3 linked regions of the Kluyveromyces lactis genome follow. The main gene of each other region encodes a partner of the protein of the gene in region 3 in a complex. Links are inferred from orthologs where the notes say so. Each region holds a gene or a part of one and is shown on either strand. Other genes may lie near its edges.

What was found.
Region 1: MRPL35 (region 3) and MRPL49 share a complex: the UniProt entries of both Saccharomyces cerevisiae proteins name them as parts of the mitochondrial large ribosomal subunit. The link is inferred for Kluyveromyces lactis from reciprocal best matches to the Saccharomyces cerevisiae genes MRPL35 and MRPL49.
Region 2: MRPL35 (region 3) and MRPL39 share a complex: the UniProt entries of both Saccharomyces cerevisiae proteins name them as parts of the mitochondrial large ribosomal subunit. The link is inferred for Kluyveromyces lactis from reciprocal best matches to the Saccharomyces cerevisiae genes MRPL35 and MRPL39.

What each region holds. Positions count from the first base shown.
Region 1 is NC_006042.1:1,308,812-1,311,450, forward strand, and holds MRPL49 (mitochondrial 54S ribosomal protein bL21m), read left to right. Parts: upstream 1-1,509; coding exon 1,510-1,992; downstream 1,993-2,639. Other genes in the region: SAP185 (Sap185p), read left to right, coding at 1-181; enoyl-CoA hydratase PHS1, read left to right, coding at 547-1,191; mitogen-activated protein kinase kinase kinase BCK1, read left to right, coding at 2,310-2,639. UniProt on the Saccharomyces cerevisiae protein: Component of the mitochondrial ribosome (mitoribosome), a dedicated translation machinery responsible for the synthesis of mitochondrial genome-encoded proteins, including at least some of the essential transmembrane subunits of the mitochondrial respiratory chain.
Region 2 is NC_006038.1:66,457-68,585, forward strand, and holds MRPL39 (mitochondrial 54S ribosomal protein bL33m), read left to right. Parts: upstream 1-1,266; coding exon 1,267-1,482; downstream 1,483-2,129. Other genes in the region: TIF35 (translation initiation factor eIF3 core subunit g), read right to left, coding at 1-336; transcription elongation factor SPT5, read right to left, coding at 1,786-2,129. UniProt on the Saccharomyces cerevisiae protein: Component of the mitochondrial ribosome (mitoribosome), a dedicated translation machinery responsible for the synthesis of mitochondrial genome-encoded proteins, including at least some of the essential transmembrane subunits of the mitochondrial respiratory chain.
Region 3 is NC_006040.1:1,119,455-1,122,537, forward strand, and holds MRPL35 (mitochondrial 54S ribosomal protein mL38), read left to right. Parts: upstream 1-1,490; coding exon 1,491-2,582; downstream 2,583-3,083. Other genes in the region: KLLA0_D13068g (M1 family metallopeptidase), read right to left, coding at 1-408; KLLA0_D13079g (uncharacterized protein), read right to left, coding at 700-966. UniProt on the Saccharomyces cerevisiae protein: Component of the mitochondrial ribosome (mitoribosome), a dedicated translation machinery responsible for the synthesis of mitochondrial genome-encoded proteins, including at least some of the essential transmembrane subunits of the mitochondrial respiratory chain.

The DNA of each region.
Region 1 (2,639 bases), on a different chromosome or scaffold from region 3:
AGATGATTTCGATGCTGATACTGATGTTGGAACACATAGCGGCATTTCTCATCGTTCGAATGAATACTCCCTGCGTCGTACTTCCAGTAATGATAAGATCCCTTACGATCTCGCTGAGCAGAGTAGTAGAGCAATGGGAATGCCTGCTTTGCAAAGATCAAGCTCACATGATACAGATTAACAATGCAGCCTTATCCCCAAACACGAATCCTTATCAACACAAATTGATATATAATAAACATTTACTTTTCCTCTGTTTATCGTTAGTTCAAGTAGTAATAATATTAATAATAGTAATAGTAATAATAACATACGAGTAACACTAATTCAAATCTTAATTCTCATGTCATCAATACATACTGCAATTTGTTAATTTGGGTATTGTTGGATTTCTCTTCCTTTTCGTCTCAATGCATCACTTAATTTTATGAATCTGAAACCATGAATTCTTGTTATTGACAAAAACTGGTCTGTTTAGAACCGAACTGGATCTTAATAAATTGAACCCCGAAGTCCAAAGAGCCCACCAATACACTTTCACACCCAATGGCATCATCTAAGGCTTCTATCTTCTCCTTCCTTCCTCTTTACAACCTACTTTCTGCTTCTGCCTGGGCTTATGTCCTATATCAAGTCGTGACCCTTTACCCAAAGATCGGTCAACCAAGTTTCTTTATTGCTACCAAGGATTTAGTCACGTACGTTCAATGCGGTGCTATAATTGAAGTCACAAATTCTTTGTTTGGAATAGTCCGTGCTCCGCTAGTGACCACTGCTGCTCAAGTGGCCTCTCGACTCTTGGTAGTCATCGGTATCTTCCAGTATGTGCCGGAAGCAGAAAATGCGCATAAAATATATTACATCACGTTGTTGTCGGCATGGTGTATTGCTGAAATAGTGAGGTACATGTTCTACTTCTTCAACTTGGTGGCTCAAGCGCCTACTGTACTTGTTGTATTGAGATATAACATGTTTTACGTGCTATATCCATTGGGCGTCGGCAGCGAATTGTTCATAATTTATTCTGCATTGCCGTTGGCTGAAGCAAAATACAATATCTTGTACAAGTATTTCTTAATTGCAGGTATGCTAGCCTACATTCCAGGGTTCCCGGTGCTATTCTCACACATGGTTGCCCAAAGAAGGAAGGTCATGAGATCCTTGAACGGTGATAAACGCAAATCTGCATGAATTGTCACAGGATTAAAAGAATAGTTTGACTCATGTATAAAAGTTCTGTAACATTTGTAACATACCCGAATGAATGCACAAATGAAACGACGCTGTCCCTTGGCGTGGCCGTTGGCTCTTCCTTCTCATGACTGTGTGTGTGCCCTACTTTTCACGTCACGTCACGTGACTGACATCAACACTTAACTCTCGAAGGCTCAAAAAATTTTCTGTTGAAACAGTATACGACTAGTTGAACAACATTTAAGACAAGTGAGAAGAAGCAGATTGAAAGGGCTATTGCATCTGCCAATTGTCGTTCGAATCAGTGCAGAAACGATGTTCAAGAATATCAGTCATATGTTTGCCCTCCCAGTAAGGCAAATGGTGGGTTTCAGCCCATTTCTTCAACCTTTGAAGAGAAGTTTCATCAGAACAACACACTCGGTAGCAGAAAAAGCGAAGGTGAATTTAACGCCGTTGAAGTTATCCAATGAGCTATATGCCGTATTCAGAATACACAACAGACCATACTTGGTGACAGAAGGAGATAAGGTTATCTTACCGTTTAAACTGAAGCAAGCAGAGGTCGGCGATGTGCTAAATTTGACTGATGTGACTACCATTGGTTCTCGTAACTTCAAGCTCGTGGACGAACCTATTGATCCATCTCTATACACTATTAAGGCTACAGTTCTTGAGAAGACAAAACGCCCGCTTAGAGTGAGAGAAGTTACCAAGAGAAGAAACAGGAAAGTGCGTCATGCGGTCAATAAAGCCGATTTGACTATTCTGAGAATATCCGAGCTAAAAGTCAATTAATGAACTAACCCTCCTACAAAATCGTGTAAATAAAAGTTTAATATAATGTTAGGTCGTTATAGATCGATTAGAAATACTATACCATCTAGTAACTATGTTTTAGTGGCAGCATCTCATCGAATTTGTTAGAAACGTTTACCGTTTTAGAGAATAGATATAAATTCAAATAGAAACAATTGTAATTAATACCATTTTAATCGTTAATAAAGAGGGGAGAAAGACGATAAGAGAAGAGCTTAGTGCAACAATTACTGGGTATCGATACTTTAGTATCTGATAAGTAAAGTCCCGCTAAATATAGATGAACCGTGGATGATATGTCTTTCTTGAAGAAGAAGAGTAGCACTGCTGGACATTCAAGGTCAGGATCTGCCTCATCTATACTCAACAAACATGTTGATCCTGCCAATATCAGTGAGTTTTATCCATCGTCATTGGATCACAAGGTGACCAGTGGTTTGAAGAACGATTATAGTTTTGATTCCAGCAGCAAGGGATCCAGGAAGTCCTCTGGTGGGAGCACCAATTCGTTAACATCTGAGCGACTATTATTCAATTGGGATGTCACTGATCCGAGCCAGTGGACGATGCCCAGGATAATACAGTGGTTCAGAGCTAACGATTTCAACGATCAGTGGATTACATTT
Region 2 (2,129 bases), on a different chromosome or scaffold from region 3:
ACAAATTCTACAAGTAATTACCTTTTGAGTCGAGTTAGCAGCCTTCTCCTTTGCCTTTTCTTCTTCCATTTCCTTCCAGTTAGGAGACAAGTCTAACTCTAATTCTTCACCTAATTGAGTGGTTGAAATATCTGGTCCTGGGGCAGCTCCCTTATCAGCACCATATTTCTTCCAATTTCTTCTCAAGGCGATGTTCTTGTTAACTTTCTCGGTGACAGTAATTTCCTTAACCTTCTGCGTAACCTTGTACTTCTTACCATCTTGGATTTTGAAACTGATGACGGTTTTGGAACCATCGTCATTCTCGATGATTCTTGGTTCAGGAATAGCTGACATGTTGTGAATCTTTGTATTATCTCCTTAAAAAAATAGGATTGTAGAAAAAATTCCTTTAATTTCTAGACGCGTGTTATACTATCAACAATTAAGAAGCCCAATTCTGATTTGAGGTATGTCAAATATCCTCCTTTCAAGTTATGGGTCTGTAGATAATCTGATCGATATCAATTAATTCTCTTTGAAGAAAAAAACTTCGCACAGATGATAGTCTCAAATTTTTGTTTCAGTTCTTTATTGAAACACGTAAATCGGATACACTTGGCGCAGTATACTCCTTTCTTCTATCAAACAGCTGGATGAAACCCTATGCACCTTCTAGGGTCACCTTACCATTACGTTTATTTTAGCAGGTAACTTAGAACTCATTTGAATTTCCATTTTTTTCTCTTCTCTTTCGCTGATTTTGCCTCTGTCTCTATGCGATGAGCTTTGGAAAATTTTCAAAATTTTCATCAGTAATGTATATCGTGTTGCACGGGTGTAACAGAGATCCGTAAGCTCCAGCACTAATTAGTTACCTTAATTATACCGTACTGTGTACACCAATCAATTCAGTTAATACCTTCTTGTTGATAAAAGCGTAGAGTAACTATATGCGAATACTTAACTTGACTTGTGAATATGTATCTGTTTCACGTGATATGAAGTACGGATCATTTTTATGTATATTGCATATTCATCAAAACGTATGTAGTGATTTGACAAAATTTTGATTATCCATTACTTCTTCTTTAGCAATGTATCCGACCCAATCAATACTGAAAGTAGTGGGAGTTCATCAATTTCTGCATAGGACGGTGTATCATCGGAAAGTATTAAGGGCAGAAAGTAATATTATCCTGCGTACTTCTCTGTCTCAAATTCAAATTCAAGGAATTTCACAGAGCTAAGGATATCATATATAAACTGCAAACGAACAGGAAAACGATGGCCAAGGCTAAGACAAAGACTACAGTTATCAAACTGATATCAACTGCTATGACAGGTGTGAGCCGTCATGTCACGATAAATAGAGCTGCACCATTAGTGACGCAGGTGAGGTACGACCCTGTAGCTAAACGTCATGTTTTGTTCAAAGAGGCCAAGAAAAGAAAGGTTGCAGAGAGGAAACCATTGGACTTCTTACGTACCGCAAGACGTTAATGAATTGTATTTAACAATTTAACCACACCATTTGCATGTATATAGAAAACACTCACACTGCAATAACTACCGTTGAAATAGACGTGATTTAAGAGTTCTATAGTAGTATCGGTTTGTAGTAAAGAAACGAAATTTTTAACTAAATTACATTTACTTAATTCACTTATTTAATTGGTTTCTGAGACTAATTTGGGCAAGACTATATATACAACATCCACATCGCGTGGAGTAATTTGGAGATAATAAGATGAACAATTGATAGGTTTGTAAATTATCGTGAGGCAATAACTTGTATGATTATTTCTAATTATTTCCACCCCACGTACTTCCACCACCTCTAGCATCCTGATTACCCCAAGCAGATCTATTGCCGCTATTGTTGTGTTGGGATGCATTGCCCCATGCGGATCTCTCTCCTGAGTTATGCTGCGATTGATTGTTACCCCAAGTGGAACTTCCACCGGTGTTTTTAGATCGTTGTGATTTATTACCACTGCCACCCCAGGCAGAGACACCTCCCTGGTTACCACCCCAGGTAGAAGTACCTCCATAGCTTGATTTATTGCCACCGCCCCAGGCAGAAGCTGCTCCTGATTCTCCGCTTGCTGCCCAAGAAGAGGCGCCTCCATAACTAGATTTATTACCCC
Region 3 (3,083 bases):
CTGAGTGGAAAACATTACCTTATTTTCACCGGTAACAAAATCAGTATAATCTGAACGGTAGAATCCAGACATATTAGTCTGAATCATACCCTTATAATCGATCTTCAACACGAATTCATCATCAGATATACTCTCCGGAAATTTCAAGGAAACAACATCGTTCTCTAAATCGAAACTATGGTCCTTCATTCCCAAAGACACAGACCCCTCTTTCAGTTCAACCACCGCAGAAACGATCTCAATGTCCCTCATATTCAATGAAATCATGTCATTGGCATTAACAGTGGACATAATAATACGCACGGATCCGATAAATGAATTGTGCTCAGCATCTAACTCACTCAATTCAATCTCATAATGGTTGGCCCTAAAGTCGGTTGGTAGAGTTTGAATCTTAACGTCAGCCATCTTTCAGTGAATCAGGTATAAACTATTCCAATACCTAATTGGTTCTCTGGATATATCACCCCAGTTGTCTTATATAGTGAAAAATCCAATATGAAATCAAAGAGTAGGTGTCATTCAAAGCTTTATCAAAGGTCTTAAGTGTTATCAATCTGTTTTCGTCAATGTGTCAAAATTTTTTTCTACCTTCCCTGCTGAAAAGCTCAGAAGTGAGCGTAGAAATTTTGATATAAGACGGAGTAGTATGAAAAGAGAAGCTCCTCCATTATCCAGCAGCACAACTGCTCATACGTTTCACCTCTTGTGTAGTTTTGGCAGTAGTTTCTTTGACCTATTAAACATTTTGCGCAGTATTGAAGAAGACCGTCTCTTTAGCTGATCTCCGACATCAGAGTCAATTGAGTCGCTTATATCAGAATCGGAGCTGAACATAGAGGGAAAAGCTCTCTCTGTTGGAGTTTGTGTATCAAACTGCGAGTAAACTTGAAGTTTAGATATTAGTATGGTAACTGCCTCGACATCGTGCCTTAACTCTGTAGAATTCGGTTCTGAACCGTTCATATTTGATTTAATAAGCTTTTGAATATTATACAGGATAATACAGGGAATGAGAAGTAAACCTACAATGCTGATTGGCAAAGGGTCTTTATACCAGGAAAAAGTTGAGGCATCTTGTCTTTACAGATCTGAAACAATGTCGCGATGAGCATTCTCATATAAGATTCGTCGTTTCAAACATAAATGATCATTATAATCCGCATATAGGAAAGGGAAGAAGAAAATATACAAAGAAAGATGGATATGATGGGTTCGCTGGATCAGAAGAGCGTCATTTGCAACATATGAAACCGAATGGCAGTCTCAAAGGCAAAGCTTACCAGTTATTGATCTCTGAACTTCCACTTGGAGCGAGAGGCACGATCTTCTGTTACCCGGACTGAAACACATTAAAATTTTTTGGTGAAAAATCGATTTCGAACGATTCAGATGAGTTTTAAGTATGAACGGACAATGAAGATACATGAATAATCAGTTGTAGGATCCCATTGGAGGGTGTTTCAGAGACTAACAACTCGAATTGGAGAATGTTGCGTAGAGGGTTGCACAGCAGTGCCAAATGTTTAGAGAAAACCGGGGTATGGTCGGACTTTTCTAAGAGATCCAAGTCGCTTGGTTTAGCATCAGAATCGATTAAGAAATACATCTTTCAAGGCGACAGCGATGACGTTAGAAGACGAGGTCCACCGTCTTTGAAGCGGAGGATGAACCGTTTGAAGTATACCTCTCCTGAACATATTGATGAGATGTTCCGCTTGAGTTATGAGTTTATGAGTAAGCGCGCTGAAGAGAAGTATTCGCAACTAGAAAATGAGACTGATGCCAAGGTACGTGCTAAGTTAGAAACAGAGGCTGAATTGCATAACCCAGAGGTCCAATACAATTTTCAGTATCATGACAAGTTAGAGAACGATACTAGAGTGATAGATTATGCTGTTCCAGTGTACAGGCGTTTGGGGCTGAAGCATTGGGAATCCTACGAAAAAATGTTGTTAATGCAAAGACTAGAGACTTTGAGTGTAATCCCCGATACGTTACCTACTTTACAACCAAGAGTACAGGTTAATTTACGTTTCCCATTCAGTACTGGTGTGAACAAATGGGTTGAACCTGGTGAAATTTTGTCCTCCAACACGACTTCGATGGTTCCAACAATTAAGATTCAAGAGTACGAGAACGGTATCGACTTCGAAAAGCAAAAATACACTGTGGTAATTGTGAATCCAGATGAACCGGATGTGTTGAATGATACATTCAAGACGACTTTGGCGTTCGGTTTGACTAATTTAAAGATAGACTATAACGACAACGTGGTAGATCCAAGAAAATACAATGAATCGCAGATTCTTGCAGATTACATTCCTCCAGTACCTGAGAAAAATGTTGGCAAGCAAAGGTTCTCTGTATGGGTATTCAGACAGAATGGTGATTTGGAATCCCCTGAACCAGTCGATAGAGAAAACTTCGATATTAGAGAATTTGTTCGTTCCCACAACTTGGACCCGGTTGGTGCTCATGTTTGGAGATCAGAATGGGATTCTAACGTGGCAAACATTAGAGAGAAATACGGATTACCAGAAGGGAGAGTGTTCCATAGAGTTCGTAGATCTGTTGTATGAAAAAAAAAATGAAAGTTTCCAGAAAGAGTTTATTTCCTCCTCGTCTCTCTCGCGATATATATGATTACACACTTTTCAACAACCTCAGGTGGTCTGAATAATATCTCATACCTCATGTAAATAATATGCAATGTAGAAAATCAATGCAACATACGCAAATCATAAAAAAAACTAAAAAGCTTGTTCGAATCTATTAAGAATATGATCATTAGTTAACATTTATTCCCGGTAACATAATAAATTATATAGTAATAATACGGTGTATGGTGCGTGCGTTCATGTGCGTCTGTTTTTTTGGACTGCCTCTGATTGAATATTTTCCTAGAGGCTATATATAGAATCTTCTTTTTTTTTGGCTGTTTCTTCTTCATATGTTATTGTATTGGCTGTAAATCTAATCGTAACAAAAAAAAGGATTCGTGAGGTCTTTCGTTCTTAGTCGAGGAAAGCAGATATAACTCTTGTTGTCATCATTTCTTGTTGACTACCAGAATTCAAACA